Linked DNA regions of Alligator mississippiensis. The protein of the gene in region 3 purifies or fractionates together with the protein of the main gene of each other region. This does not show direct contact. Links are inferred from orthologs where the notes say so. Each region holds a gene or a part of one and is shown on either strand. Other genes may lie near its edges.

Region 1 (10,505 bases), on a different chromosome or scaffold from region 3:
AATCAATATGTTGGTGCTCCTATCTCAGGACTGATGCTCCACAATTGCTTTGGATAAGCTCCAACAATTACAGTATTAACTCTGCAGCAGTTGCTCTGGTTGGTACCTCCGCAGGGAAATCTGTATCAGCCAGCAGTAACTTCTCATGCCTAGAACCCCTTTTATTCCAGGGTTTAAAAAAAAAAAAAAAAAAAAAAACTCAGCAAAAAGCTTCTGCACATCAATAGCTTACAACAGGGCATGTACTCTGGATGGGTTTTTGGGTGCATAACTGTTCTGTTGTGCAAAAACCCAAAAGCAAAGGTGTTCTATCTATACAAAAAACAATAAAAGGTGATTATTTGTCAAGTATTTCCAAGTACAGAGAGGAAACCTGAAAACCAATCTTAGTCCCCCTCTTTTAGTTAGTGATTCCATTGTTACTTTTAATAGTAGATTACTTTCTTAAAATAGAAGTTCAACTTTCAATTAGACACTTCCCTTTAAAGCCATTTTTACTTTACTTACTCTCAAGAGGTCTCCCCCAAAAACATGCTCCCATTTTTGCACCTTACCTTTATTGTTAGTACTGTTTGGTCTTACAAAAATTAGCTTCTTTGAACAGGGAACTTTTTCAGACCTGTTTAAAGGACCCTATTCTCAGTATAGCACACATTTCAACAAGCATCATGTCATTTTTAACAGTCACTTAGTGCTGTGCATGAAGCAGCCACATTGACAGTGAACTACTCATTCCATGTAAGCCTCGGTACCTCAGATCACAGTGTCAAATCTTACTCATTTCTCATAATTTTCTCCATTACATTGTACTTTAAAAATATCGCCTAAGCTCTTATAAAAAGATAAGAGTTGACAAGGTTCAGACAAATTTTCAATCATGTTGAACAATAAAACAAAAGTGATATACTTTTAAGTTTACATTACGGATGGGTTAATAAAATATTCCTGGGCAATAAAGACTGATTTAAAAAGTTGGCTTTGGCAACACGTTTGCCTGCAGATGTTAGCAACATGCTTTGATTCCACTGCTGTTTTTGTTTGTATTCTGCAAACACTGCAGGTTTAAGAGTAAGGACTTGTAAACAGAGCTGTGTATTTTTGTGATTTATTATAGAAGGAAGCTAAGGATTTTCTCTCTCCACTTGTTTTCCTACTGCATTTTCCCTACAATGTTTTATATCTTCTGCATTGTAACACCAATAAAACTATATTGCCTGACAAAGCATATCTTTCCTCCCTTCCCAACCACCACTTCATCCTCTTTGGAATTTACTTTTCATACAGAGATTCAGACAGACATAGAAACGCAATACTCCCCTGGAGCCAAAGAGTTCAAGCCTCCCTTCTCTGCTATACAACCATGCCTCAAACCTGTTTCAGAACAGCTTCATCAGGGAAATAGAAGGTAATGAATTTTCTAACCCAATTCATTCCTCCATATAGGCTGGAAGTGCCTGCAAGTTTAATATTTGTGATGATGGGTTTATGAGGGAGACCCCTGTCCAAGTTAGAGGCCCAGCAATCATAGCAAATGAAAGATGGAGGCATCAGATGGACTTGGGCTGATTCAAACCAGCAACTTAGCTTTTTTCATGTTTATTCTGTATGTTGAAAGCTCATGTTTTACTTGCATTGGTAAGTCTAAAGCTAACTGCACTAGACTAAAACAACAGAGCTGCTTATCTTTTAAGCTCTCCCAACACTTAGCTGATTTGCCCACCATCAAAGCCTCCCTGTGAATGAAATGAACCTTGCGTAAAAAAGGGCATCTTTATTCATATCACAAGAGTGTTAAGCAGCTTAATTAAGTTTGTAAAGCACCGAGAAGCTCAGGCAGAAAGCAGAATAAAATTGGAATGCATCTGTCAAAAATGCTGGACTACACCAGATAGTTTAGGTTACTGCATCCAACTTATTATTTCAAACAAGAAAAACTGCATATTAGCTCACACTTGAAAGCATCCCAGGTCTTTAAACTGACGTTATAACCTAAACGGCTTATATGCAATGCATCAAGCATGCATCTCTTCTACAGCATCACATGGAATCATAACGCGTCAAATAAAATAGCAAAACAAATAATAGGTTAATGAGCAATTATGCCCAAGTAATCTACAAGTCATGCCCCAACCCAACCTAATAAAGTTAAACTCATGTCCTGTCCCATCATGCCTATGTATTGCATAACATATAGTAGTTAACATCTGAAGCTTTAAGAATTGTCAGGGTATCGCACTGGTCCTCATGCTGTGTCATGATAATAAAGAAAACAAACAAAAAGAAAAAACCGGGTGCAGCAGCTTATTCAGGGTATTCTGTTAGAATACAAAGCAATAAAAAGAGTAATTAATAGAGGAACACATAAAGACAGTCATCAGACAACTGAATTAGATTACAGTATGTAAAGTATCACACCCATTTTATATCCATTTTTCAAAATGTTTCATGCTTTTTAGTACATATTTTTGAGAGGACTGAAGATTTTGAGGGGAAAGAAAACAGCTCTCACTACTAGTTAGCAGTTTAAATATTTTGTTTGACAGGTTAAGCAAAGTGATTTTGCCTGTTCCAGTTCAGACCCTAGTGGACATAAACAAGTATTACAAAGCTCTTAAACTTCCATTTAGTGCTAGCTGCTGTCCTCTTTCGAGAGGACTGTGGCCAGGTTAACACCACATCAGCATATTTTAATTCCAGTTCACGAGCAATGATAGCAGATAATCCAAACCTTAAACTACAATGCTCCTGCTAGTGATACTGTGACTATCAGCTTGGAGTATTAAAATATATTGTTCAAAAGTTGATAGCATAAATTGGCAGAATACCAGAGTAATACATTTTTTTTCCTTCGCTATTTTCCTTTTGGCATGACAGCTGCTCAAAATTAAGAGTTATTCTTCTGAGCATATGAATACCAGATATATATTTAAGTATTAGGAAAAAAATACATGCCGATACATCCATTTTAACACAGCACTGGGGCGAGATGCCAGTTCCACCAGAATAACAATAACTATTCATGGTTACCATGATGAGCATTTATTTACCTTACTTCAGGTTTTATAACTCAGTTCCTTGAGTTATATAAAATACTCCTCCCTGAAAGTCATGCATCCCCAGAAATGAGAAGTGATCATGGGAAGATCCACCAGCTTCCTCTACTACTTAATGCATTTCACAAACCCTGCTCTCAGTTTTTTTTGCCTTTAGTAGAGTTTAAGTTAACTAAAACCCCAAAACCCTAGCCGCAGCATAAACTTAGTTTGCAACCAAGTTCAAGGAAAAACACAAGTCGCTCACAATGTACAGTGACTTGCTGAAAATAACCTGTCATATATTATTTTCCTCTCCAGGAGAGCAAAAATGGCCTTACCTTGCCTGTCTTGTGGTCAAACCAGACAAGTGCATGGTTCCTGGACAGCACCTTGCAGTCAAAAGTAGCATTATTCTGAGCTGGCCGACAGCGGGCCACTGAGCGGCCAATTTTGACGGGCTCGTCCAGGTAGACATGGCGCTCCTGAAACGGGTGAGAGTTCGGGCGGCAAGCGAAGATGGCCAAGGCTGAAGGCATCGAGGACAGATTGCGGTTGTCACAACAACCAGGGAGGAAGAGAATCTCTTCTGATGCAGGCTACCCTCCACAATTTTTAACCCAAATCTCCAGAAACTTTACATGAACGCAAGACAAACATCACTTGCACCCAGCGAGGCCTAACAACGCACAGTTTCAGTGTGTAAACTAATCCTGGCAATAATCCAGTGAAAAAGCCCCATCATGTCCACGAAGAAGATCAGCAGTGCCTCAAGCGACGCCCAGAAGACGCAGCTTTCAATCCATCCTCTTCGGAGCAGACAGGAACAACCATGGGGCTCCTCCGAAGAGGAGTGCGCTCCTTTGAACGAAGCAAGGGAGATCTTTAAAGCCAAGCTGATGAGTCACACGCCAAGACTTCTGTTTGGGATGGATGCAGGCTACCTCCCCCTCGATTTTTCCCCCACCCCCTTCCGTAAACAAGGCTGACTGGACACCCACAATGTGGGAGCGAGGAAAGGCGTGAAGGAGGAGCCGGGGAAGGGCACGGCGCAGCGTCCAGGCACACGGCGAACGAAGCCTTCAAGGGGCAGGTGGCTTAGCTGGTCCCCGCGACCTGCCGCATCCCGCCGCCCTCATCCCTGGAGAGGAGCCAGTGGTCCAAGATTGGGGGGGGCGACGCGGCTGCTCCTGCCCGGGCCGGGGGCCGGCGGGGGGCGCGGAGCGAGGCCGCCTCCGCGGTTCCCGGGCGCGGGGCGGCGCTCAGGGGCCCCGCAGGTGGCTGCGCATCCGGGTGGCGCCCGCTCCTGCGGCCTGGAGACCGGGCCGGGTCTCGCTCAGGCGGCCGCCGACGCCGAAAACTTTCCTCCGACCTGCAAAGCCAAAGAAACGGCGTCAGAGTCGCCCGGCCCGGCCCGTGCGGGCGCCGCAGCGCTCCCCGCCCTTCTTACCTTCCCCGCTGCAGCCGCCATAGTGACTGCAAACCTACCCGGTGCGGCGGCGGCGGCAGCGGCCGGGAGGCGGGTGATGGCGGGGGAAGGGGGGGCAGCCGGGGGAGGGAGGAGCCGCTCGCACCGGGCCTGACCAAAGGGAAGGCCCCGCGCCCGCCTCCCACTTTCTGCGCAGGCGCGGGTTCGGCAGGGCGCAGGCGCGGGATTGTAGCGCCTGCGCGCTGAGTGCCGTGAAGCGGCGCTGGAGGTGGTGCCCGCACTTGCGGGCTGCGCTTCCGGGTGTTCCATGCGGCGGCGACGGGCCGCAGGTGCGGGGCGCGTGGAGGGGAGGAGGTGCCGACAGCCTCAGCTCGCTGCGAGCCGGTGGGGCCCGGGGCCGCTCTCCCACGTGGGGTCGGGGAGGGTGCTTCTCGTTGTAACTAAACCGGCGGACAGTGCAGCGGTGTTTGCTGCCCCCCCCCCCCGGGTTTTCCTGCCCCCCCCCCGGGTTTTCCTGCCCCGGCCTCGGCTCGGAGGTTCTTCTCTGCGCGGCTGCGAGGCGTGTCTCACTTTCGCAAGGCATTCGCCTATCTATTCGGCTGGGTCTTAACCCAATTAAAGTCCCAGATTGCAAGAGAGCGAGACGTGGGAAGGATAATTGCAGAGGCAGGGCTGAGCAGAGGACAGGAGAGGACAAAAAAAAAAAAGAGTTAGGTATCCACTGTGCAATGCCCGCCTCTTACTCAGCATTTTCCGTCGGTAGATTATAAAGCAGGTCCGTATGTATTTTTATTTTACAAAGAGGGGGAATTGAGGCCAAAGAGATTTGCTCAAAATCAAGTAAAATGCAGTGGTGGAACTGGTCTCTCGAGTACTAGTTCAATGTGGCCCTTGGCCATTCAGTCTCCTTGAGGCTCGCTGGCAGTTTGAGCGATACAGATAAAAAATGAAGTCTGGCCATCAGATAAGATCACCCTTTGACACAGTATGCAGAGGAGGGTAGTTAGGGATACAGCCCTGAGAGATGGAAGTGGAGGTCAGGCAGGAAAAATAAGAACAACGAATGAAGAGAGAGAGGCCGGCCGTGAACAATCAATGAGAGAGACTGGAATTGTGAAAAGTGCCAGAAGCCCAAGAGGAAGGAAGAGTGGTGGATAACTGTGTCAAGGGTAACAAAGGTCAAAGCAGAATGAAAACATAGGACATGGCAGAAAGAGAAGTCTTAGGGGAGGGAAGAGACTAAAAGCCAGGTGGCACTGAATCAATTACGGTGTTGGAAGCAGGGAAGTGATATCTAAGATGAGAAACGACTGCATAATTTTGAAGGCAAAAAGGGAAAAGTGATAGAGGGGTAACTGTACAAGAGGTATGAAACTATGGTAGTGATTTTCAAACTTCAAGACATTGCACTGTTTCCAAAACTCAAAAGCATATGGCATATCACCTACAAATTGGTATATTTAAAATAGAGGCTTATTTTGCTGACATATCTCAAATTTATCTGATTGTGACCCAGAACCCACAATCAGAAAATAAGTTTATTTAATGAGTGTCATTACGTAGGCTGTTTGTAGCAAGTCATGGGGAAAAGGAATCTTATAAAAGGATTAGGGACACGGTGAGCGAAATTCAAATGTTACAGCAAATGGATTGGATAAACAGATTGACTTACTAGAAATACATTCAGACATTTTGAAGGTGGGGAGAATAGAAAAGGAGATGGTAGAAAAATGTATGCTCATGGGGCAAAGGATAGGACAGAATTCCTGTGAGAACAAATCCTTTTAAATATTTGGAAGGATCTTGGATTGATTGATTGAAAGGAAAGAGGGTTTGATGATGAGACTCAAGGGGAAAAAACATCAGAGAAAAAAATTATACTCTGTGGGAGCGGGGAATAAAATGATTAGAGGACAGCAGAAATAGAGAAATAACATCTTCTGATCACTCACTGTATGTAGGTTTTACAATTACAGTTTTTTAAAACCAAACACACACGGTGTTGTCTTATAGTCTACATATTTTCCTTTTTACTTCAGTTCTTATTTAACAAACTGGAGAAAGTGGGGGTGCAAAACAGCTTCTGGGGTCTTTGATACCTTTCAAAGTGTCCCTCTGACCAGCAAAAGGAACAGGTGGCTAGGCATCTGTAATGGGCTCTGGTGCAGAATTTGCAACTGTAGACTAATTGCCAGGAGTAAAGATGACTTACAAGTACATGCTCAGTTCAGGCAAACTGTCATTTGCCACAGAGCCTAAGAGGTGAAATTTGACAACCATGTTAGATAAGGGCAGGAAGATCACATTCAGTGGCCATCATAGTTAAGGGCAGAAAGTCTATAAGTGTTATATATGACAGCCATCATTGTTTAGGGCAAAGACAATTGTCAGTAGCCATTTTGGATAAGGGAATGAAGGGCAAATCACCTTTACCCTTCTAGGGGAGATGACGCCTGCCAGACTTGTGGAATGCAGCATCTTTGAGTCATGTGCATACCTGCCTAACGTTAGGACTTTGGCCTGAATGTCTGGAATGTTTCTTAGGTCCTGCAGGGTGCTCAACATTTAAAGAACTTTTATTGCAGGGACACAGCCATAAATTCAAACTTAACTAGGATCATTTGGGGAAAAAATTGGAACAGCACTGTGGACTAGGTGATCAAAAAAATCAAAATAAATAACAGGATATATCAAGTATAGAAATTATCACTTGGCACTTTGTATATATGGCAGAGGAATGATACTTACCCTGTCCTTTTCAAGTTAGTACATGGAAATGTGCTGTCAGCTATATCCTGCCTAGATGCGAGTGGGCATCTTGAGTGGGAATTCCAGGAAAAAGTTTCACTATAGAAAAGTTCTGGAGTCTCTGGTATAAGGAACAGGATGGGAAATGATATTGGAAAATATTATGTTGCTGTTAGATGAGCCAGTAGTACACAGAATAATGTGTTCATTTTTTGTCATTCTATATCAAATAAAATAGAGCAGGACCATGACTATAGGGAACAGAGACATTCCAGAGAGACTATTTCCAGGAAATTAAACAGAGGCAATTGAGAGACTTCCAAATGACAAGAGACTGGAGAGATTGAAGAGACTGGGATTCATGTTGCCTCTAAGTCTAAAAGGCCCCAGTAAAACACACCTTCACTTGTGTCAGTAGGGCCTGCCTGCTGTACCTGGGAAACTGCATCCCTTCTAGCATTCTGCTTTCCAAACAATTAAAACAACCATGGGCAGATATATAATTTGAAAAGGGGGTGCTGATGGTGAGGTGCATCATCCCACATATTTTTCTCTAGTTAAAAATAAATTAGAAGCTTTACTAATATGTCGAATAACTTGTAATAACTGTATTATTCAGTTTAAGATTCAAGAAAAATATAAGTAACTTATATTCAAATGTAAGTTGGAGTGAGTTAAAAACTATCTCAGAGCTGTGAAACAGGAGCTTTATTACAGGAGCAGCAACTAACAGATGGTGGAATTGCAGAACAAACAATAACCTGATGAGTGGAATATCCAGACCTTTGTATCGGCACCAATGTAAAGAAAGTTGATTGCGTCAGAAATTGGCCTGATGTGGCCGATAATTTGGCCAATAAATTAATAGATTAATAGACCATAAGGCTGAAAGGGACCTCAGAAGTTCATTGGGTCCAGCCCTCTGCACCAAGCAGGGAAGACAATTGGGATCAGGTGACCTCAGCAATGTGCCTGTCCGGTCTTTTGAAGATCTCCAGTGTAGGCGATTGCACCACCTCTGGAGAGAGCTTATTCCACAGTCTGGACACCCTAGTTCTGAAGTAGTTTTTCTTAATGTTGAGCCTGAAATAGTCTTCCAGAAGTTTGTGACCATTACTTGTAGTTTTCCCCAAAGGTGCCCTGGTGAACAGTTGTTCACCGAGCCCTTGACATATGCCTCTGATGTAACTGTAAGCTGCTACCAAGTCCCTTCTCAGCCTTCTTTTTTCCAGGCTGAAGAGTTCCAGATCCCTCAGCCTTTCCTCATATGGCTTGCTGTGCAAGTCTCTCATCATACGGGTGGCCCTTCTCTGGACTCACTCAAGCTTTAGCGTGTCCTTGTTAAAGTGTGGTGCCCAGAACTGGACGCACTATTCCAGCTGTGGTCTCACCAGTGCCGAGTAGAGTGGGAAAATCACTTCTTTGGTTGTGCTGGAGGTATATAATGTCAACCTACATGCCACAACGCAGCAGCATGAAGAGCTGCATCCAGCTGGTAAGTCTGTTGTGGTGGAAGGAAGGGGTGTGGTGGGGGGGCAGAGCAACACCCTCCCAGGGGGAGGGAGGGAGGGAGTGGGCAACACCTGCCCCTGCTCCATTGGGGCAGGGCATGGGATGGAGCCATGGCTCGTCTGTGGGGCACGGAGGAGGGAGGGGCTTTCCCCACTGTGTGCACCCTGGGAGGGTATGGGGGGCTTGTGCCCCTGGATCTGCACAGGGTGCAGGCAAGTTGGGCTGCGGTCGTGGGCCGGGGCTGCTCCAGGCTCTTCCCAGGACATGTGGGCTTTGCTCAGAACTGTGCTCCTGGCGCATGAGGGCTGTGCTCAAGGCTACACTCGGGGCAGCAGGCAGGGTACTGGGAGAGAAACTATGGCAAAATTTGGGGTGGCTGCAGTCCCCACCCCCATAACCTCTCTCCCAGCACTGCCAGCACCCTCCCTAAGCACAGCCCCAGCCCAATCCCACCCCCCACACGCCACAAAGAGTCCAGCGCAGTCCCAGCCCGCAGCTGCAGCCCTCCCTTCCCCCCCGCCATGTGGATCCAGGGGCACACACCCCCACCCCCCGCCCCATAACCTCCTGGGTTATACACAGTGGCAGGAGCCACCCAACCTCCCCACGCCCCCTAGACGAACCGTGGCTCCGTCCCCAGCCCAGCTGGGCAGTGCCAGCCCCTGCCACAGCCTCACTCCCTCTCTCACCATAGGGGCCTCGATCTGCACCCCCACATCCCTTCCCTCCCTGTCCACCACAGCAGACTTACCAGCTGCACTCAGCTGTATTGGAAATCAGATCAGTATCAGCCAATATGCCTCCTTAAAAATTAGCTGTCTGTCTCAAATCTCTATCAGTGCACCCCTAATTAAAAAAAAAAGAGAGGTTGTTAACACCTGTGAAATGATGAGTTTAGATGGAATCAGGTAGATTATAATGACCCAGGAAGTGAAATTACTCTTTTAGCAGTGCCTGACTAGAAATGTTGCTGTTACTGCCACATAATTGGTTTTAAACTTTTTCTTTACCCCTGAAAACAGCTATATTTTGAAAGGAAAGCTAGTGGTAGAGTGTTTTCCCAAAGGAATCTCACTTCTGGAACTCACTACTCACCCTGATGTATCAGGTCTAGTTTTTTGTAATCATCCAGATATGCTCCAAATCTCATCTATTGGACATATTTGAGGAGAAGTTATATTGAAAAAAATGATGCTAGGCAAATAGTGTCTATTTTGTAGGGTGATTTGGAAGTTCATAGCAGAATTCAATTGTAATGAGATGTACATCCCAGTCCAATACCTCAAAAGTTACCTGTTGAGACATGTGGAGCCAAACTGTATTTAGCAGAACTGTAAAACCTGAAGGGATTATTTCTGGGGAGCAGGTACATTTTACTGTGCACTGTAAAGCAGCTAACCCTCACATTCAGCTGCAAAAATATTCTTGGTTCACAGCAATTTCCTGTTACCCACTAGAGTGTTGGAGGGAAGAAATGCTGTGCGTAATCCAGAGTACCTATTACCTAATAGGTTTGAAAATCTACTATGTTATATTGTAAGAAGCACCCTTTGTTTTTTTGCTGCTGCGATGCAGAGGTTGGAAAAGCATTTTTTCATTAGTTGGCAGAAAACGCTTTAATAAAATCAGTAAATCAAGGAAGATGGGATGCGACAGTGTGGTCACCCTCTGTCAAAATGATTATGTTGCAATGCTTGGTAAACAAGTCATTATTATGTGAATGCATCTTAATGTAACCTCTGGACCATAAATGATCAAAATGATGTAGTAGCAGAGCATATTGA
Region 2 (10,505 bases), on a different chromosome or scaffold from region 3:
GGCTGCCCATGCACTCCCACCTCAAAGCAAACAGATGTCCCCAGCAAAACAGCAGCATAAATTCATACCACCTACTGTCACGACCATAGATTTTCAGCATTTGTGGATAAGAGGCATGAACATTTATTGTCTTGGCCCTTTTACAGCATAAACATTTTTATGATGGCACAAAGGCGATGTCCATTTCCAGCCACAGTGCACAAAATTTAAGAACATGCTTAAGTTTTTGCAAGATCCTTGGGATTCAGTTTCATTTCCAGTATTTGTTGCAAAGTTTATCCGTTCTCTATTCTTTTGCTCAGGCAGGTAGAGTTTTGCTCATGAATTGGCAAAAAAATCCCTGAAAAAAAATTCCAACTACTAAATCTGTTTTATTTACTGATGTTTATATTGATTACAAAGCACTCATCTTGGGCACACTTACTTATAATGAGCCAAAATTACTTCTCTGACCATTTTACAGAGTTCTGAAATTTTTTTAAATTCCTAATTTCTTGATGATTTTCTGTGCTTTCGCAAGATTTTCAAATAATATTTTTTCTGCATTTTCCAGCCAGCTGTACTGGGCATTCAGTTTTTATTCCTAATACTAACATGCTAAGCTGTAAAATGCAACCAAGGTTCAAACCTGCAAACACCTGCACATATCCTCGACCTAGATTTTAAGGTCCAGGAGGGACCATTATAATAGTCTGACCTCCTTTGTAATATAAACTAGAGAACCACACCCAGTAATTTCTGCCTTGAGCCAGTAACTTATGGTTTCAGCCACCACATGATTTATAAGCCTTCCAGGTAACAGAGAAAGTACAGTTCTTAGGCTGTTCCAGCAGTCAAATATCTGCTCCTTCCCCCAACTCATTTCTAGTCTAGTTTTAAGCCTTCAATCACAGGATCCCATGATGCCTTCTGCTAAACTAAATCTCTACTAGCAAAAATTCTTTGTACATACTCATAGACCATGATCAAACCATTTCCTCTCTAGGGTAAAGTAACTATTTGAGCTTTTTCAGTTTAGCCCATAAGGCCTGACCTTTTTTTCCACAACTTGATTCACTCTTTCAGCTTTTTCCTGAAGCAAGCCCAATTTCCAAGATCCTCTTGAGGGGCTGACAATGCAAATTAATCCAGTAAAGGCTTTGCTAATTCTGTATTCAGTTATGATACCTACACCTCTATTTCTACTTGGCATGCCCCTGCTGCTATATCCAAAAATCAGATTTGCCTTTTAAACAACACTGAATGCGCACTCCAAGTGCAATCAGTTATCAGCCATAACCCTATATATTATCCTTTTGCAGTTCACCATTTTCCTCTCATATGTATGACCTACATATTCATTCCCACATGTTCTGATGACCTTGCCTTTGTCTCCATATTAACGTTTTTCCAACTGAAAACCTTAGTGATCCATGTCAACCTGCATAACTGACCCAATCCCATCATTCTTGGCATTTCTCCAGTTTGATCTGGAAATTTTAGATCTTTAATAGCTCAGAGAGCTCACCAGCCAATTCTTTTAATACTCTCGTGTGCAAGTTATACATCCCTGCCTATTTAAAAGTGTATATTTAAATATACTTCTTCCTCTTGGTAACTAAGTGTTAACATTCTTCTCCAGTAGCAAACACATAAAATCACTTAGTTTTAGTTCGTTCCCAACACATTTAAAGAATGCCTTTTTATTGTCCTTAACCCTTTTAGTGGTAGTTTTTTCATACCTTTACCTTCCTTATAAATTGTGGCCCAAAAACTTTATAAAACCATCTAAGTTCCAACCCTCCCATCAATAAATTCAGTAACAATGCAAAGATTAACATTAAAACACTATTTTTTTGTAATATAGCACTAATAGAGGCATATCCTTAGAGGATAGCACCTGCCACTATGGTGGGTTAGGCTTTAGGCAGAAACCAAGGAGGAGATTTTGGTATCAGTTTCGAAGCACTGAACAAATTTACAAAGGGACTTAGGACTGGTGGTTCTGAATGTTGTCATTCCTCAATTTCAGGCACCAGTGCCCAAAATAGATTTCACATGCCAAAGTTAGCATGCATTGCCCAGTACAATGCACAGGGAGAGATAGATGCTTAAGAATACGCTGAGCAGGAGGGATGCTTAAGCCATTCAGATGGGATGGGGGTGGTGAGGGAAGAGGAGAAGTAGTGGCAGGCTGCAGCTGAAAGTTGCCCAGCCCCCATGCAGTTCTTCCTTGCTTAGCTTCAGCACACAGATGCAGGCATAGGCAAAGCTCTAAGACTTTGTGGACAAGATCCAGTGGCTCCACTGACCAGATCTGGCTCATGGCCATTTGTTGCCCATCCCTGGGTGAAATCATGGTTTCAGTGCTGTCAAAGGCAAAATTCCCACTGACTTCAGAGACCAAGACTAAGTCTTAGATATCTTTTGCACAGTTTCAAAAAGCAATTCAAAAGATACAAAATGCTGGCTACCATTTCCAGATATCAGATACACATTGAACAAAAAAAAAACAAACAAACACAACAGAGCAGTCCTTCACTAATTAATTTTACCATAGACAAAGCAGTTAGAAAGAGTGGAGCTTTTTACAGCATCCTCTTTATATACTCTCCTAGGCTACCACATCTGTCAACGCAGCTTTCTTTGCATCACAGGCTGCTGCCCCCATATATCAACAAAGAGACTGACATGTTGGATCATTTCTTGCTATTATATAATCATTGTTAGTTGATATCATGCAGGTGGAGGTCAATGCACAGTACTTCCCATTCCCCACCCCAACCTACCGCAAATTACACTGGCCTCATGCTGATGAAATTCCACTGGCTTTGGTACAAATCAGGAAGGGCTGCACAGGTGCGACAGCGGCATCAGAGCTAGTCTCCTCCAGTTTCTCCTATCATTATTACCATGGTAACACAGTATACCAAGTTTTTTTGGTGGGATCTCTCTTTTTTGGCATAACTGCTGTACTTGAACCAAGAAAGCTCAGAATGACAAGAATGTTGGCTTCCTCCCAAGTACAGCACACGAAAGAATATTCTACTCTTTTTCAGTTATAAATTCCTTAGCGACAGTAAATAGCAAGACCATTTGTGAAAGTCCTATTTCATTACATTTTCAGGAGCAGCCAAGCAACAGCCAAAAGATCCCCCCCCGAAGTATTACTGATGCTGTACTAAGATGCCAGGAAAACAGCATTTATCATCATGCCCTGACAATACCACTGTTAGACCAAACTGTTGACTTAATATTGTAGCAGAAGACAACTGTGTATCAACTGACTCTATGTCCAAGACAGTGTTCGTTGCACCCTCTAGCCGTTAACAATCCCAACAACTAAGAAGCGTCCACTTGAATTTTAAAATCCTCCACTGGAAATTTCACTGAGCTTTAGGCTATAAATTAAGCTGGTGCCTGGCAATAGCCCCAAAACAATCCAATGGCTGGTTTTTCCATGCATCATAAAACTGCATTGATTCCTTTTAAAATAAGCAATAGTCTCTTTTCATTCTTTCAGAGGGAGAAAGAACCCCAAATCTGTAACAGTTATTATTATTATTATTATTAAAGGAATACTAAAAAGGAAGAATAAGGACAAGGGGTTGAAATACTGGAGGGATCTTTGGCAAGTCGGCAGGATGCAAAGCCCTGGTTCTTAAAGAAAAGGTTGCCTGAAGTTAGGCTCATTTATGGGCCTAACTAACTGGCTTTAGTTTTGCTCCCTATTCTGGAAAATATACTCCGAGTACCTCGACACAGCCGTCCTCGCATTCCCAACCTTTTGATTCCATCCACCTAAACCCGTGTATCCCTAGAGCAAAAAAAATTCCCAGAGCATATCCCTAAATTATTTTATTTTATTTTTGCCCCCAAGATTTTTGTTAGTTTAGACAGGGAAAAAATATGGCCAGGTACATCCTCGCCTACATTCGCTTGCCGGGAGAGGATTCAGGGCTGCACGACTGAAGGGACGTCTGTGCAAACCTGCCTGGACGTGGATGTGTTTTTGTAAAAAAAACAACCACTGCCCCCTCAGAGCTGACGGGAGCCCGTCACAAGAAAATAAATGCAAGCGGGCAGGGGGCTCCCTGCAGCGAGGGAAGTCCCGGCTCGCCTGAGGTGCCGGGGCGCGGGGCAGGAGCAGCAGCACGAGAAGCGGCCCCGGGCCGGCAGCGTCGTGCGGGGCAGCCGCGGGGCCCGCACTCACCCCCCCCGCCCGCACAGAACAATGGGGCGGGCGAAGCCCCCAGCTCAGCCCCGCGTCCCCCCTGCCCGGCCCCGGCCCCGGCCCCGGCCTCGGTTACCGCTGCTTCCGCGTCCTCCTGGCCGCCAGAGCCGGGCTCGGCGCTCGCTCCCTCCGTCGCCATCTTCCCGCTGTAACGGCCCCGGCGCGGAGCCGAGTGGCAGCCGCCGCCGCCGCCGCCGCAGCCCGGCGCTTAACCCCGTCGCTGCCGGCGGGCGCGGGCGGGGCCGGGTGGGACGGGGCGGGGCTGGCAGGCGGGCGGGGCCGGTGGCAGCCCGGGGCTCCCCAGCGGCCGCCTGCCCGCGCCGCCGTGAGCTGCGGGGCCCCGCGGGGTTTGCCGGGCGCGGGGGCCGGGGAGCCGCCCTCGCCCCCGGGCTGCCGCAGCGCTCGCGGCTCGAGCCAGGGGTTTCCGACAGGAATCCGCAGCCCCGCGGAGCTGCCGGGCCGGGCCCTGCCGCGGGGCAGCGCCTCTATTGTTTCTCCGCAGTCCGACCCCCCCAAGAGCCGGGCTTTTCAGAGGATGCGCCAGTCATGGGGGTGCCTCGGCTCTCACGAGGAGCCGGCACCTAAGGGATCAAAAGGCGCCTGGATGCGGGCCCTGCCCTGCCCTGCCTAGGCAGGGGCGGCTGACACGTGGCTGCGGGGCTGGGCTGGGCCTTGGCACCACAGGCGTCTCACAGGGTTGAGAAGCGCTGGATGAGGATGCATGTAAGTCCTTTAAAAAAACCCAGCAGCATCTCCGCCTTCTCCATCCGCTCCAAACCTCTGAGTATCTGATGTGGCTGCGGGAAGGAGCCCTGCGGCACAGGTGCCCCCACCTGGGAAGACCAGGTGGGTTGCCTTTGCCATCACTGGGAGCAGGGCCAGGCCAGCCGTGAGGCAAACTAGGTGGTCATCCAGGGTGCCAAAATGAAATCCAGAACAAAACAACAGGAACGCCGTTCTGAATCACAGAAACCGAAAGCACAAAAAGCAAAGTTTTATTTTGTAATGTTCATGAGGACTGTCTTTTAATTGTACATGTAATATAGTAAATCCTATTAGAGTTTTTGCAGTATAGTTGTGTTAGGGTTAATGAAAAGTGTGAAAACCAATTAAAAATGTTTTTATTGTTTTATTGTTCATTTTGAATATCAAACAAGTACATATAAAGGTTCATTCCAGACTTCTTATTTTCCTCTGTGTTGGAGGTGGTGGGGGCACCGGGGTACACAGTTCACCTAAGGCACCAATTACCCTTGGACCGGCTTGCCTGGGACTATGATTTCACCCCTGTGTTGGCACCATATGTCCATGAGCCAGGTCCAGCCAGTGGAGACATTGGGTTAGTACCACAGAGCCCTGGCTCATGTAGTTCCCTCAGGATCCAAGAAGTCCAGTGCCATTGCTCCTCTTTAGAGCAGGATTCATTCTCTGGCTGACTGTCACATACTACACATTATTATTAATTGTTATTTATCATAGAATCATAGAAAATTAGGGCTGGAAGGGTCCTCAGGAGTTCATCTCATCCAACCCCCTGCTCAAAGCAGAACCAACCTCAACTATATTAGTATGCAAACCCCTAAGTGTACGTGTGCCTTTGTCATAGAGGACATCTACCAAACATGCTATGTTAAAAAGCTCCCAAGTATGTGCAATATGTAACAGTTTATTTGCCCTGTTCTAAACCAGCCGCATTTAGATCACAACCTTACCATACCCAGCAACAGAGCTCTCAAGTACACTGTGCGACTGCATGCATTATTCTCCCACATCCAACCAAAGCCACACAGCACAGAAGGTGGGCTAACTATCATTGTTGACCAACAGTGCTCCACCGCCCTTTCAGCTCTGCTCACATTCAGTACGTGCTTCCAGTCTGTGTGGTAATGCATGCTGAGCTGCACAATATGTTTGAGGGTGCTATTGCCAGGCATAGTAGGTTTGCAGTCTAGACATGACCCTTGAAGAATCCCAAAAGCTCAAAGACCCACGCCAAATAAAAACCTTAACATCTGTGCACTGTCATGTTTAACCCTTCTAGATCAGGTCCCAATCAATGAGACTGGTTTGTCAGCATTCTGCGTCTTACCAACCGGTATTTAAATACCAGCTCTGCTAGTTTTCCCCTGTCCCAGAATTCACTAACACTTTCCTCTGTCCCTGGAATTGAGGCGTAAAGTCGACAAGATCCTCTTCTGACATTTTTTAACAAGAAGTGGCGCAGGGGCGCACAGGTTACTGCTCTTTCCACTGTTGGAGATTCCTGGTTTCTTACTACTATGATTCTATCATCTCCTGCCATACTTGCTAAATTCTCTCTCTTCAGGTTATTAAAAAGCATCCAGTCAGCATGGTACCTAGATGCTAGTTATTTTAACTCCATATTTCTAGTACATTTCCATCACAGTTCCATAGCCAAGACTGCACAATTTATCTCTCATGCTGCCAAGATCATGCAATTTTGAGGTGTAGATGATGTTTTCTTTTATCAGTTACTGGAGGAAAATTTATCAAAATAACAATGAATATCAGATTAGTCATAGCTCACCAGGTGAGCCTTGAGAACTGATCTCTCTCATCTGAAGATAAATTTAGAAATGATGTTGGAAAGGGAGGAAAAGCAACTCTCAAGTCTCAGCCAGAAAAAAAATAAATAAGAAGATAGCTGGACCAGCAAGACTTCAACTAAAATCCTGCCTCTTGACAGCTAATATCTGGCACATCACCCAAGCATTGGAAATGGCTTAATCTGCTGTTGTGACAGAAGCACTTAGTTCTGAAGCAGCAAAGAGCTGTATTTTTGTCATGCCAATAAATTAATCAGTGCAAAATTTTAAAAATATTGTTGATCAGCTTAACCATTCTACACCCTACTGGATCTCTGCATTGTTCAACCCTTTTGCTGATGTGACAACAACAATGCCTAATCCATTTAGTGATGGCACCCCAGCATTTAAATCTATACTGGGAATTATTGACCATTATTGGGAGCAGGAAGGGGTGTGGTGGCAGAGAATGGATTAAAGTATTTTACTACAGTTGCAGAACTGCAAATATAAATTCTACCCTGGACTAGTGCCAGCTGAGCGACAGACTGAGCTGTAAATGGGTCATTTGGCCTAGGGTTTCAAATGTGACAAGGCAATATGCTAGTCATATTGTTTGCAGTTAGCTACAGAAACAGGTGAGATGTGGCCTTGCTATTCCTCTGTGCTGCTAGGTTCAGGATTTTTGCTCCCTCTCCTCCCTTTTTTGACTGGGCTGGGCTCCTGTGCTGTGCAGTTGTTGTGGCTTCTTTGTCAGTGCTATCCACTGTATTTATGAATCTCTGCATTTCTGCCAGTTAAAGAACTCCCTTTTTTCCAGAATCCCCACTATTCTAGAAATTGTGTGTTCCTTGATTGCTAAGATCATGCTACCACACTAAGTTATATTCATTCCCCAGCTGTTGCAGCTATCCCATAGACATCCCTGCAGCTTTATGCCACAGACATCCCTGAAGACTTTGGACATGTGATCCTGAAGGGTTTCATACCTGATACAGGAAGGTCAGAGAAGGGAGGCTTTGGTTTGATGACTGTTCCTCCATGATTATACCTGATGTTACTTGTTCCATGTGGTCCTAGTCCAGGTGCCTGTTCTGGGCTGATGTGGAATAAAATAGTCATTGCTGTGCCCATGTTAAAGAGAAAGTACACTCTTCACCACATACCCATGCTAGGGCCTTTCTAACAGGAGAAACTACCTGTGTTGGCACAAGTGGTTCATTTTATAAAATTAGTGAGGCAAAGGAGTTGCTTTGCTTGGGGGAGGAAACTTGCTCTTTTACTACTGAAATGTAGCTTACAGGCTGGAGAGAATTAACTCCCTCACTGCTGCAACTTCTGCTGAGCCCAACTGATGGAGAAAAAGTTGTCATTTATGTCAAGAAAGTCATTTCTCTGCTAGGACTAGGACCTATACCTAAGATTTAAATTTGTTCTTTCCCTGTGGTTATACAATTGTCACAGTAGGGTTTGGTCCATCACTTTCAGGATGCAGTTGTTGTGCAGGATAATGTTCATTTTATCTATTACCAAGCAAATTGCCACAATAGAAAAGAGTATTTGCTTTGATTGCACAAAAACAGGGAAGAAGTTACTGGGGAAATCAAACCATCCTGGACAAGGTGGATCCTAATGCTGACAGCTTCAATTAGATATCTACAGTTACAAAAGTGATATTTTACCGATGTTTTAAAAAAAATCCGGTCGGATCTGGGAGCAAGGAGGAGAAATTGTAGCCCAAAGAAGATTTTTACAGAAAGTTAAATGCCAAAAGCCTGGTTTACTGAAAATGCCTCCTCAGTCATCATAATTATAATATAGCAAAGCCATTCCAAAGCATCCACCTCTTTGCTGGTACAGGTAATGTCTGCCATCTCTTTTATTCAAGATTTACCATGCTAAGTCATATAGCAGTTCATATGATACCCCCCATATAAACAATTTCAGAGAGCTCAGGAATATCCGAGTTATCTCAGGAATACCATTGAACAAAGTCAGAAGATTTTGGGAAACAAACCAATCACTGGAAAGTTATGTAAGGTAGCAAGTTTGGGTTTTGCATTGAGGCTGAAGAGAGCATACTGGATTTATTTCTGTCTCACTAGATGAGAAATAAGGTACAGGTTCATCAGGCTAGAGACTGTTAAACTAGGATCAAAAGGGAGAACAAATAGGCATTCTGTTAGCACAAAAATCAAGATGTCAGGAACGAAATTAATCAAGGTACCAAGGGACACAGAAGAAATTATTTAATTGACTATGTACTAATGCTAGGAACCTGGATAATAAACAAGAAGAATTGGAATTGTTCATTTATGAGCATAACTTCAATCTAGCATGTATTACTGAATCCTGGTGGGAAGATTCATTCGCATGACTGGAATGTTAAAATCACTGCTTATACTCTATTTAGAAAGAATTGAGTGGGCAAAAGGAGAGGGGGAGTGGCACTCTATGTCAAAAATAGCACTGCCAGTGTCAGAGTCAGTGACAACTCAGAAACTAATGATCTTGAAAGTTTATGGATCAATGTTCTAAAAGATAAAGCACAGGATGGAGTACCAGCTGGTGTCTACTGCAGCCCACTAAATCACACTAGGGAACAGGAAGACGGGCTCCATAAGCACTTCTCTATAATGGGTAGGGGGAAAACTCTCATTATCACAGGGGACTTCACTCTGAGTGACATACATTGAAGATCTCATTCTGCCAATACTGCAACATTCTGAAAGCCTCCAAAAATTATAGATGACAATTTCCTAACACAAAAAAGTTTTGTTTTGTTTTGTTTTTTGCACCCAGCACAGAAGATTCTAATTTGGATCTGTATCTGAACAGATAAAATGGAAATGTTAGATCCAAAAAGAGACGCAGATGCCTAGAGCTAAGCGTTTGCAATATCAGACCCTGGGATCCAGAAGCCTGAGTTAGTTATATACACTCCCAGTACAATGAACAGGGAGCATTAGATATCTCATAATGGGATCCATAACAGCAAGCATGAGGAGCAGAAACAGTCAAGGGCGAACGAAGGACATAGATGTATCAAATCCTGCCCTTTTTCTAAGGCTTCGGGCAGAGGAAAGCAACTTTCTCCTTGGGAATCTATAACACAGAATTCCCTTACAAAGTCAAAAGCATTGTTTTAAAGAAATGGACAAGGAGCTACACTTTTTCTTTTAGATCATAGCAGGGAAGAAATGTGGTGCTACCCCCCTATTTTGTAAGGTAGCTTAGTTAAAGCACTCACCAGGATGTGGGAGATGCAACTTGAGGAAATACAAATCCACATTTTCCTCTTCTCTGGTAAGTGCCCCAACAATCAAGCTATATGCTGTTTTGGGGTCGGACCACTTTCTACCCTTTCTGTGCCTCTGTGCAATTCAAATTAATTGTGCAATAAAGAGAGAAAAGAAAAACGTAGCAACCTACTAAGTTGGGCATATATCTGAGAGGGAGACATGTGGGTTATAGTTCCCAGTTGAAGGACTGTTTATGTATGTTAGATGAAATGGTCACTGGGTAAAATGATTCATTGGAGCAGAGACCAAAACTGACCTCTTTCCCCTGAGGTGAGACACTTACAAGAATCATGTTGTCCTTTGCTTTCACTGAGCTGGATCCTGCTGGGGTACTCTAGATGTGCTGTGAGAACCTGTACTATATACAGCCTTTTAGGAGATTTAGACACACAAATGCCCATTTTCTGAATCTCTTGGGAGGAAGGGAGGATGAGGGGGCTACAT
Region 3 (10,505 bases):
TCACCTCTGGACCCTCTCTAACTTCTCCACATCTTTTTTTTAAATGTGGAGCCTGGAAATGCTTGACAGGATGGCCAACAGGACATGCCAGTCAGGTCCCTTAGCCTCATGCCAGTCTACATAGCTCCAACAGCCTTCCTTCCACACTAAGGCCAGTGGGTATTTCTGGGTGGGGAAAGAGCTGGTGGAAGCAATCCATAAATAGAAGTGATCATGAATAAATGTACCCAACACTCTTCACAGCCATGCATCCCTGGATTCCTCCCTGGAGAACAGGTATATTGGTAACATGGAATTTATGTACATAGGTTACCACTCTCCTTGGGTGTTTAGTTTTGTTATAATAGCATGTTGGGTTTTTTCATGTTATCATGATTTGACAGAAGCTGGAGTGTCTACATTGATGATTGCTAATGAATTATTTTGTTACTTAATCCCTGGGTGTGTCAGTATTTGGGAAAGAAATGAGAACCAGGGATTTCAAAACAAAGATGTTGATGGAGCTTCAGATTAATAATACATGACATTGATTTTCTCATCCATAAATAGATACAACTGACTAATGGTGTGCACTCATTATTCCTTCCCCCACGTCTTTCTCCAAAACAAGGATGTCCTTTACTTCCCTTTCTTGAACGCAGCCCCTGTGATGCACTTTCTGGCTGTTTGTAACAGTTCACTAAACCAGCATAGGCACTGGCCCATTTCTGGCCAGGGTACCTGGTACCTTCCTCCTTCCCCTCACACATGCTAGGCAGTGTACAGTACACCCTAAGCGCAGGAATGGCTATGGGGCCATTCACATCCAAACAGGTTTGTGGGCAGCACCATGTTGCCTTCAGTCACATGTTCCACTACCATCCTGCCACTCACCAGTTTGCAATAACTGCTGCTCTACTGGGTCTTCTAGAATATGGTTTGGACATCATAAGTCCGGACAGCAAGGGATGGGCCAATTCTCCTAAAGTGATCGTGGATGTAGACTCCTCCTTAATATCCAGATTACTGGGAGGAATCAAGTTCCTGCTATCCAAGTATGTAAACATCAGCTCCTTGAGAAAGTTATTGTGCTTGAAATTCCATCTGCAATCAATTAGGCCTATTTAATGAGCCATCTGTATCTTTCAAATATCTGAAGAGCAGTCTTCAAATATCTGAAGGGCTCCATAAAAAAGAGGAAAAGCATCTCTTCTCTCTTGCTTCAGAGTAGGATGCAGATCATTGGCTTGAAGTTGCAGTGAAGTAGGTTATTTATCAGGAAAAAACTTCTTCACTGTTAAAGCAGTGAAGTAGCAAAATAGACTGTCTTGGCAAGCTGTGGAACCTCCATCATTGGAGGTGGTCAAGAAGAGGTTTGATAAACATCAGATACTTGCTACACTTGTATTCTGCTATTGGTATTTCCCATGCTTCTGGGCTTTGCTGGCTGCCATATGGGGCTGGGAAGGAATTTTTTCCCCTCCTGCTGCTACATGCATCAGGATTTTTTCTGTCTCCCTCAGAAACTGGGGATTTTGAGTGGGGTGTGCCAGTGCTCCTTCTGGGACTTAAAACCAGAGGTTCCTAGCTAGAGGATCTTTCCCTTGCCTCAGAGTCAGACTGATCACCATGTTTGGGGTCAGGAAGGATATGTAGCCCTATGGTTATATTGGCATGGACTGTGGTGGTTTTTGTTTTCTTCTGTAGTTGAGTGTGTGCCCACTATCTTGGTTCTCTCAAGTGTGTTTTAATAACCTTTGCAGCAGCAAGATGCTGGCTGCTGTGGTCCTTCTACTTTACCTGTGGCAGGTTAGGGTGTTATTTCTCGTAATTGTGCCAGGTTTGACTGTGTAATTTTGCTAATAGGTGAGACAATGGATTTTAATGGGATGGTTGGATAGGAATGATCCTGCCTCACGAAGGGTGATGGACTAATATCCCTGCTTTTCTATGAGTCTATGATTCTGGCTGCTATATTCATGAGCATCTTGTGGGAGCAGACAAGAGTCACATGTGCCATGACTGGCCCCAGTCCAGTTCAAAAAGCCCATCGTCTCAAAGCCAGCTGCTATTTTGGGATGTTAGCAATTGCCACCCCATGTGCATGAATCAACAGTAATTGCCTCACAAACCTTCAAAGTTATGTCACTGAGATTTGCAAACATTAAACTGGTTACCATTAGTCTGCAGAAGTTTGAGGTAGCCAGCTTCCAGATAATAAAAGTAATTTTTCTGATCTGATATTACCTCTCATCTGCATACCTATATGCCACTGAAGAGCTGGGTCAAGATCTGGAGTCACGGCTGTTCTGCATCAGAATGTAGCCCTACCTCTCTCTGCCTGTGGTCCTGCTCCAGAATTGCTGGCCAACACTGTGGGATCCCATAGCATTTAGAGTGGGTGCTCTAACCCAAAAAACAACCACCTAAGTCACCTGGGGGCTGAAGACTTACTGTATGTCAGTCCTACAAAACAATTCTTTGATGATTTTCCCCACAGCCATAACCACCTCCACCTCACCATCTTCATAATTCTGTGCACAGGAACAGCAGAAGGATTACTGACAAGATTAATGAGACAGTTTGTTGGGATACACTCCCAATGTACTCATTTAATGTAAGCATATGTGTGTGTGAGAGAGACAGAAAAAGAAAGAGAACCATTACCATTTTGGTTAACACCAGGGACTCAACAGGCACAGTTGAAACATGAGTCTTTAGAACACACTACAGCTGGGTCAGTAACTAACTCACATCTACTGTGGACTGGATAGACATATAACACACACTGATGAATAGCTTACACATGTGCAGAGCCCTCCCACATTGCTGCACAGCTGGGGCCCAGGTGCTTTTTCTTCCCATACCCTAGCAATTGGCTTTCATATCTGGATACTTGCTTTATTTACTTATTTATTCCAAAGTTTTAATGCTGTTGCACTTTTCTGGTTCCCCCGAAGCAAGGGACTAGGTGTGTCCTGGATACAGCTGTCATGTTTCATGGGGCTGGCCCTACACGTATCACCAACCAGCCCAACCTGCCCCAGAACTGGAAGGCAAAGTGTGGAGTTAATCTGGGTATTTGTAAGGTGTGGCTCTTTGTCTAAAGCTTCTCAACTGAAAGGCATCACGTCTGAACTCAAAAGTGCTGCCTCTCTCTACACACTCTCATGGCTGCCAAAACCACAGACATTTGCAACGCCAGTTGTTGTTTTCACTTCTCTTCCTTTAGGCCAGTGATTGTCAACCAGGGTGTTGCAGCACCTGGGGGTGCCTTGATATCCTTTGAGGGGTGCCATGCAATGTCAGCGCTGTTAGGTGTACAAACATGATTCACAAGGTAAACCCAGAGATTTCAAATAGGAATCCATAGTGTCCAAACTATTTTGACCTGTTGTGGTCTTTCTAAATTCTTTGCAGCAGCAGAATTGCTTTATTTTTCTATAGTTACTAAATGACTGAAAACTAAGAGCGGGCATTTTCCAAGGGCTGCCTTGAGATTATTAGGGGGTGCATTGAAACTGAAATGGTTGCAAACCACTGCTTTAGGCACTGGCCTTTTAAGTGTAACAAAGTGGCAGGTCGGGAAGGTGCTAACCTCAGGCTGCAGCTTCCTAGTTTAGATCTTTGTTGCAATCCAGGGACTTGTTTCACAACTGGGCCACTTTTGCCATGGCTTTTAGCAAGCATGGTAAGGTAGCACCAGCAAACAAAATGGCCATTTGGAAAAACCTGTGTGTACAGGTACCTGCAACTGGGCCTGTTTGATGGAGAGATGTCTGTTTTACTAGTTAGAAAGAGTCCAAGTCAGATTTGAAAGGTGACCTGAGCACAGGATTTCAGATGGGTTTGTTTGATGTGCGTGGTAATTTCTTCAGGAAGTATCTTTTCCAACTTGTTCCTTTTTTTTTTCTAAGAAATAACATGAAGTCATGTGTACTCTGCTCTGCTTCATTGGATGAAGGATGCTCATGATGAGCAATTGGCTTGTCTATGGAAAGGTAAGAAGGCGATCTTCAACAAAGGCTTCTTTACTCAAAACCATAGTCAGAGAGGTAATAATGGGGGGGGAAAAAAACAATTAGCAAAATGTGTCATCTAGTTTGTTTAAAACCAGTCTCTCCCTCTATTATCTACCTTGTCTTCCCCTTGATCTGATGGTGCTATTGTTGGCACTGGCCCTGTCACCCTGCCAGCTTCAGCCATGACAGGACCTGGATTCCCAGAGTAAAACCAAGCAGGGAAAAGAATAATGCTGTAGAAAACCTCTGGGGTCTACTGCACTGGACTTCAAAGAGCCTCCCCAAGGCATCCCCTTCAAAATGATGCTGCTCTTGCACACAAGTGTGTCCTTAGTGGTGCCCACGTGATAGCCTAAACGTAGAGGCTTGTATGTATGCGTATATGTCTGTGTCATATATGTGTATGTGTGTGCGTATATATGTGGCAATGGAGACGTGTGTGCATGTGCCTGTATATGTATGCGTGCGTGTATATGCATATATATATGTGTGTGTGTGTGTGTGTGTGTGTGCATGAGTATGCGTGCAAATAAGTGAGTGTGTGTGCGTACAGACAGAGCGCGGACTGGCCCGTCCAGTCCCCTCCGGGCACACGGAGAACCTCGCTCCCTCCTGGGAGCCGGCCGCGGTGGTCCAGGACACGGTGGGTGGGGCAGCCCGGGGCCCGCTGGGGCTTGTGGTTCCAGCCGTCTGCGCCGCGGGCCTACATGCCCCAGCATGCCCCGCGCGCGCCCCGGGGCCTGCCGGCTGCCGTAGTCCCCGCGCGCGTCAGCCCCGGCCGGGAACTGCCGCTCCCAGGAGGCCGCGCGGCCGGGGCCGCCCTCGCGCCGCGCCACTGCCTGCCCCGCCCCGCCCCGCCCCCGCGAGCGCGGCGTCCCCAGGCGGTCCCGCAGCGCCCGCTGCCTGCGCACGAGCCGGTCCCGCACCGCCATGGGGCGCGCACCTCAACGGGCCCCCCGGCCCTAGGGCGGGTGGGCGGGCGGGTAGGGGCAACGGCTGCTGCGGGGCGGGGCGGGACGCTGGGCCGGGCTGGGGGCACTGGGAGCGCCCCTGGAGGTCGTGGGGAGGCGCTGGGCAGGCTGGGACGGGGCTGACAGCAGCCCGGGGGTGTGCAGGGCCGGCCAGGCTGGTGTTGGCTCTCCGGAGGCCCCAGAGGGTGTGTGGTTGGGAGGCGGCGGCAGCCCCTGGCCTGGTGCGGGCACGAGCGGGGTGGGGGGCGCTCGCTGGCAGCCAGGTGGGCACGGGGCACCTGGAGTAGAGCAGCTGCGTTCTTGCCTCTCCCAGCTCATCCGCGGAGGAGCTAGCATTGCCCCTGGGCTGTGCCGCACGCCTCCCGCTGCCTGGCTTGGTGGAAGTGGATGTCTGACCAGCCTGGGGACATGGCTCACCTGAGGGAATTTGCCAACCAGGTAAGGATCTGCCCCTGAGAGCAGGTGACAAACCCTGAAGCAAACCCCCTCTGGTTTGGGAGCCAAGCCGTTGTTGTGCCTCTGCCCCCTGTGCTCTCAGCCTGGCTTCTCTTTCCCAAGGGACTGCTGTTGTACCCCTGGCAGGCCTGGCTTTGACATGCTGCAAGGTTGCTGCTTCAGGAGAGGAAGGAAAGAGGAGGCTTGCACAGGTGCACTTTCTCTCTCGAAATATAACGTGGGTCTCTTTGAGAGAGGTGGGAGTCGCTGACGTTCCCAATATTTGGGGGCAAACGGGGTAAGAATTCCAGGCCGTGAAGCAGACGTGTAGGGGAGCAGGGACTCTCCATCCCTGGAGGTGATCAAGAAAAGGTTGAACAGCCCCCGACCAGGGAAGATGCAGGTGTAGCGATGCCTGTGTTCTACTATGGGGATTTCCCAGGCATCTGAGCTTTGCAGGTTGCCACTGCCTGCCTTTCCTGCTACATGTGTAAGGGTGTTTTTAAGCCTTCCTCAGAGGCATTAGGTGTTGGCTACAGCCAAGGCTGGGGATATTGATCAAGGTGTGCCAGTGCTCCTGCTGGGACCAAAGGCAAAGGTTTCTGGCTTGGGAGTCCTGTCCCTTTGCTCAGGGTCAGACCAGTCACCATATTTGGGGTCAAGAGGGAACATTACCCCATGGTCAGATTGGTGGGGACTGTAGGGGTTTTTGCCTTTCTCTGTAGCAGGGGGCATGGCCCTCTTCCCTGGGATTTCTTGAGCATATATTGACAACCTTTCATAGAAGTAGGATGTCAGCTGCCCTGGTTCCCCTGCTTTACCTGTGGCAGGTTAGGTTGTTAGGTCAGTGTTGTGTCAGAGCTGAAGGCAGTCTTATGTAGAGTTTAGATTATGGTTTCTATGGGATAGTTTGGATAGGGAGGATCCTGCCTCAGGCAGACAGTTGGACTAGATGACCTCTGGAGGTCCCTCCCAGCTACTTCCTCATGATTCGATGAAGAAATATGTCCAAAAAAAGAACTGCAGGCTACCACTGTACATGAGCAACCTTCGTAGTGGACAGTTGGGGCTGGTGGATTGAGCTAAGCATGGGAGAGGGGCAAGGAGCTTCCCTGGTTGGTTCTGAATAGGTAACTGTCCTATAAAATACATATATTGGCATTGGTGAACAGTGTTATCACTGTGATAATGTTTTTTCCCAATTGGACTTAAAGGGGTGATTCTGTGGTAGGGGCCAGAGAACTGATCTTGGCATGAATCCTTCAGCCAGAGCTTCACTGCTGGTACCTTGGAACTTGTTCACTGTTGTGGACTGAAATATCCAAGAGCTCCCCCTCCCTTTGCCCACCTGAATTTCTCTTCCTTATTAGAAGTAAATGTGCATGCATTGTTGTCCCTTACTTTAGGTGATCTGTAAGCAGAATTGGTGTGAGAGTGTTGTAAATGATCTCTAAATTGGATGCCTCTTCCCCGCAGAAGGAGGGCATAGCTGGCATCTTGTTCCTTCCCACATTTTTCTGCCAAATTTGCAAATGCTGTAGCTATCGAGATCTAGAGCAGTGGTTCTCAATCTTTTGCACCTTATGTCCCACCAGTCATTTTGTCAAAAAAACCCTGGTCCCACCATAATAAAAACAAAACCCCACTGTTTGAGAGATCCATTGATTCATCTATTTGAAGTGCAAACAACTTTGATTTTTTTCAATTGGGTAATGAGTTGAAGTCCCACCCACATGACCTTTGCGTCCCACCAGTTGAGAAACACTGATTTAGAGCTCTTCTTCTGGCATATTTTACATTAAACTTCTTTCAGGCATTCTGCATTCCCAAGTGTGGGGTTGAGTACTTAAATGTGGAAGCTTTTGGCTGTGGCTATCTTTTGCCTGGATCCATTAAACTTTCTTACTGGTTTTAAATTAGTTTGCCATGTGACTTATTTTGCTGTGCAGCACCAACTGTTCCCTAAATGCTGTACAGAATTAAAGACAATAATATGTCTTGAGCTAGTTGTAGCAGAGGGAGAGAATTGGAGACAGCAGAGAGGATCTGTTTAGTTACAGCTGAAAAATGGTGCATTGATGAAGCAGTTTAATGCAGGAGCTGCAAGAGGAGGGCTGCTAGAAGTAGGTAATGAGTAGGTAAGGGAACAAGGCAGAAGGAAGGTAAGGAGACAAGAAGGGTAACTTGGAGCCAGAGTGAATAGAGGGGACAGCTGCTTGTGATGGATGGGTGTCTTCACCAAAAAATAATTTCTTTGGTTGCAGCAAGCTTTTTGTCAGTGAATATTGGGTGTAAGGTTACCAGTGCCAACCATGGCTACCTTCTTGTTGTTATCCACAAGGGCATTCTCAGCCTTCTCCTTACCACGACCTCTAGTTGCAACAAAAGCCTTTCCTTTCCTTCTACCAGCTAATCTTAAAGAGGAAAGTTATTTGACAGGTGTCTTGTGTTGTTCTTCTTCCACCCCCCACCTCCTCCTTCCTCCAGGGGCTGACCACAAGCCTCAGGTTATAAATTGGCTTCTATGTACGTGGGGGGCTTTGGAAGAGGAGTAGGAATTGTTCACAGACTGCCTGTGGGGGAGGGAGGGGTTCTATTCCCAGTTCTACTGACCTGCTGGGACCTTGGGCACATCATTCCCCTTCTCTGTGTCCTTGCTTTCCCTCCTGCCTGCAGTCTTGGGCAGGGATTATTCCTTGCTGCATTTAGATGGCACAGGGGGAGCCCCAGGCTCTGTTCTTGTTATGCGAGTAACTTTTGGCTTCAAGCTCAGCTATGCGTTTGCTTCCAGCTTTTGTTGCAGGCTTCTTCTGCGACCTTGACAAAGTCTTTCAAACTTTCTGTGGCTTAGTAATACTTCATGACATCCTTGCAGTGTCCTGAGAGCTGATGCAAGTATGGCACTTGGGGAGTCCTGGCTAGACAATTAAAGAAACACAAAGCCTTGTTGCCATGGGAATTGCCTTTTTTATTTGGGATTGTAGAAGTGCAAAGCCCTTGCTCTGGCTCAGCAGACAACAGAAAAACCATGAGCTAGTGAGGTAGTGACCAGCAAACTTGCAGGTGTTTCCATGTGACAGGATCACTTTCACTGAGGAAAGCAGGGCAGTTGCTGCAGAAATGTCTGGGAGAGGCCCAAAGGGTTAATATGTAACATGGAGAATTGCTTGAGGGAAGGAAACACTAAAGGGAGGTCAGAACTGCTGCAATCTCTTTAAGGTTGAGGCCCTTCTAGCTGGGTGTGTAGCACTGGGAAGCTCTGCATATTTATCTCAGTACTGAGAAATTACCTGAGTGAAAAGCTTTATAGGGGGGAAAAATGAATATTGGAGCTGTGAAGCCAGCTGTTTATGCTATGGCATGTAGCACAAGCCATAGTGACTCTCAAAATATTTTCCCCCCAATCAAGAAGGTTCTAACCCTTGGCATAGCCCTGCAGTTCTCACCTTTTTTAGGGGCAGGGTGGCTGTGACCCCTGCATCCTGTTTGTGGCCCAGCCCCATGTTGAAAACCCCAGGTTTCTGGCTGGAGGCAAGCACCTCTTGGTGCCTTCATAACAGAGCCCTGGGGGAGACAGCACAGGTGAACTGCAGAGAAGCAGGGGTGAAGCAGGGTGAGTGCACACTGCCAACCAGCTCATCTGTGCCTCATGCTCCAGGCAGTGATTGAATCCTGCCGAGCGAGTGGGATCTTTCCCTTTTCCCCTGACCCCCTCCCAGAACAGGACTTAACGGTGTCACCTCTAGAGCTGCCCACCTCAGCAGCAGCGCTGCCAAGTCTGGAGTGCTCACAGCTGCCAGGCTGGCTCCGAACATGCCATTCCTCTTAACCCCCAGTGCCAGCTGAGAATTGCTTTGCTTTAAAACATTATCTCTTTGTGCATGATAGGGCATTTCCTGACAGCCATTGTGATGGGATGCCTCTCCCACAGCTAGCAAGGTGGGGTTGAGGGGAGCAGAGCCTGCGATGCAGCCTAATGTTCCTTCTTCCTCCTTTCCCACATAGAGTATTGTTTCCCACCCCCAGCCCAACTTCGTTTGTTTCTTTAGCTCTGAGTGGCTTGGCAGAGCAGTTCAGCACAGGAGAAATGCTGGAATTGCCTGAGTCCCTCTCTTACTGCAGAGCCTGTGCAATGAATGTTCAGCCAAGCACATAGATATGATTGGGCAGACATCACGTAAGAGCTGTGTAATAGAACAGAGAGCAGCAGGTCAGCTGGTTCTCCTCCCCGCCATGCTTGGGGCTCTGCTTTGCAGTTGCTGCAGGCTTGGCATTAGCAGAAGCGAACAGAAAAGGGTTCTAATGTGAATGGCAGCTGCAGAGCATGGCAGGTGCTAATGAATGTACACTTAGGCTCTGATGGGTCCACTCCCTCTAGGTGCCTTACCTGGGGTGAAGGATTCCACTTTCAGTGCCCCATGACTGTTTGTCTGATCTGTGTATAAGGGTGTGGGGTGGGGGTCACTCTAATTGTAAAGCCTGTACTGGAACCAAAGCAATTCCTAAGCAGTGAGAATAGGCTGTGAACTAGACAGTATCCAGGATGAGGATGCTGGTTGTCCTCTACATGCCATCTCTCAGCAGTGCATAATCATGTGCCAAAACTCGCCTGTCGGCCGACTGGACTGCTCGCTCCCCTCAGTGAGCATTTCCTCTTCACTGTGCAGGTGTCCGAATTGACCTCAGGAAACCTTGCTGGGTTTCTGTGGCCTCACTTTGCCTTAGACGGGATTGCAAGCACCCATCTTTGCTCAGTTTGTATGTTGTTCTGTTCATGCTGTCTGTGCCAAGGCCGTGTTTCCCCTGATCCTTCCGTACTTAGGTGGGACAAAGGCCTTGGTGATGCCTGGTCTGGCCTTCACTGTGAGCATGCTCATGGTCTCCAGCAGGCATTTCCTGGGGAGTGTGACTTTTGGGTTGGGCCTTTGCTTTTTGCATCATTGGGCAGAGTAATTCACTCACAGGGCTTGGCTCAGTCAGGGGCTTGTAATGTTTTTAACAAGCTTGTGTAGGCAAAGCTTGTGGTCAGCCCATCCAGAGGCCCTTTCTGTTGTCCCTGCCTCAAAGAGGACCTTGAAGAATTTACAGCCCCCAGTTC

What was found.
Region 1: the proteins of STK25 (region 3) and SLMAP purify together in Homo sapiens (affinity purification with mass spectrometry; 5 studies listed by BioGRID and IntAct, with this or other methods). This does not show direct contact. The link is inferred for Alligator mississippiensis from reciprocal best matches to the Homo sapiens genes STK25 and SLMAP.
Region 2: the proteins of STK25 (region 3) and CTTNBP2 purify together in Homo sapiens (affinity purification with mass spectrometry; 3 studies listed by BioGRID and IntAct, with this or other methods). This does not show direct contact. The link is inferred for Alligator mississippiensis from reciprocal best matches to the Homo sapiens genes STK25 and CTTNBP2.

Annotation. Positions count from the first base shown.
Region 1 is NC_081835.1:20,912,544-20,923,048, forward strand, and holds the start of SLMAP (sarcolemmal membrane-associated protein), read right to left. Parts: upstream 4,601-10,505; 5' UTR 4,521-4,600; exon of another isoform or gene 4,405-4,520; 5' UTR 3,572-4,404; coding exon 3,374-3,571; intron 1-3,373. UniProt on the Homo sapiens protein: Associates with the striatin-interacting phosphatase and kinase (STRIPAK) core complex, forming the extended (SIKE1:SLMAP)STRIPAK complex.
Region 2 is NC_081827.1:48,418,744-48,429,248, reverse strand, and holds the start of CTTNBP2 (cortactin-binding protein 2), read right to left. Parts: upstream 4,461-10,505; 5' UTR 4,353-4,460; coding exon 4,290-4,352; intron 1-4,289. UniProt on the Homo sapiens protein: Regulates the dendritic spine distribution of CTTN/cortactin in hippocampal neurons, and thus controls dendritic spinogenesis and dendritic spine maintenance.
Region 3 is NC_081830.1:37,262,808-37,273,312, forward strand, and holds the start of STK25 (serine/threonine-protein kinase 25), read left to right. Parts: upstream 1-4,858; 5' UTR 4,859-4,984; intron 4,985-5,285; 5' UTR 5,286-5,359; coding exon 5,360-5,410; intron 5,411-10,505. UniProt on the Homo sapiens protein: Oxidant stress-activated serine/threonine kinase that may play a role in the response to environmental stress.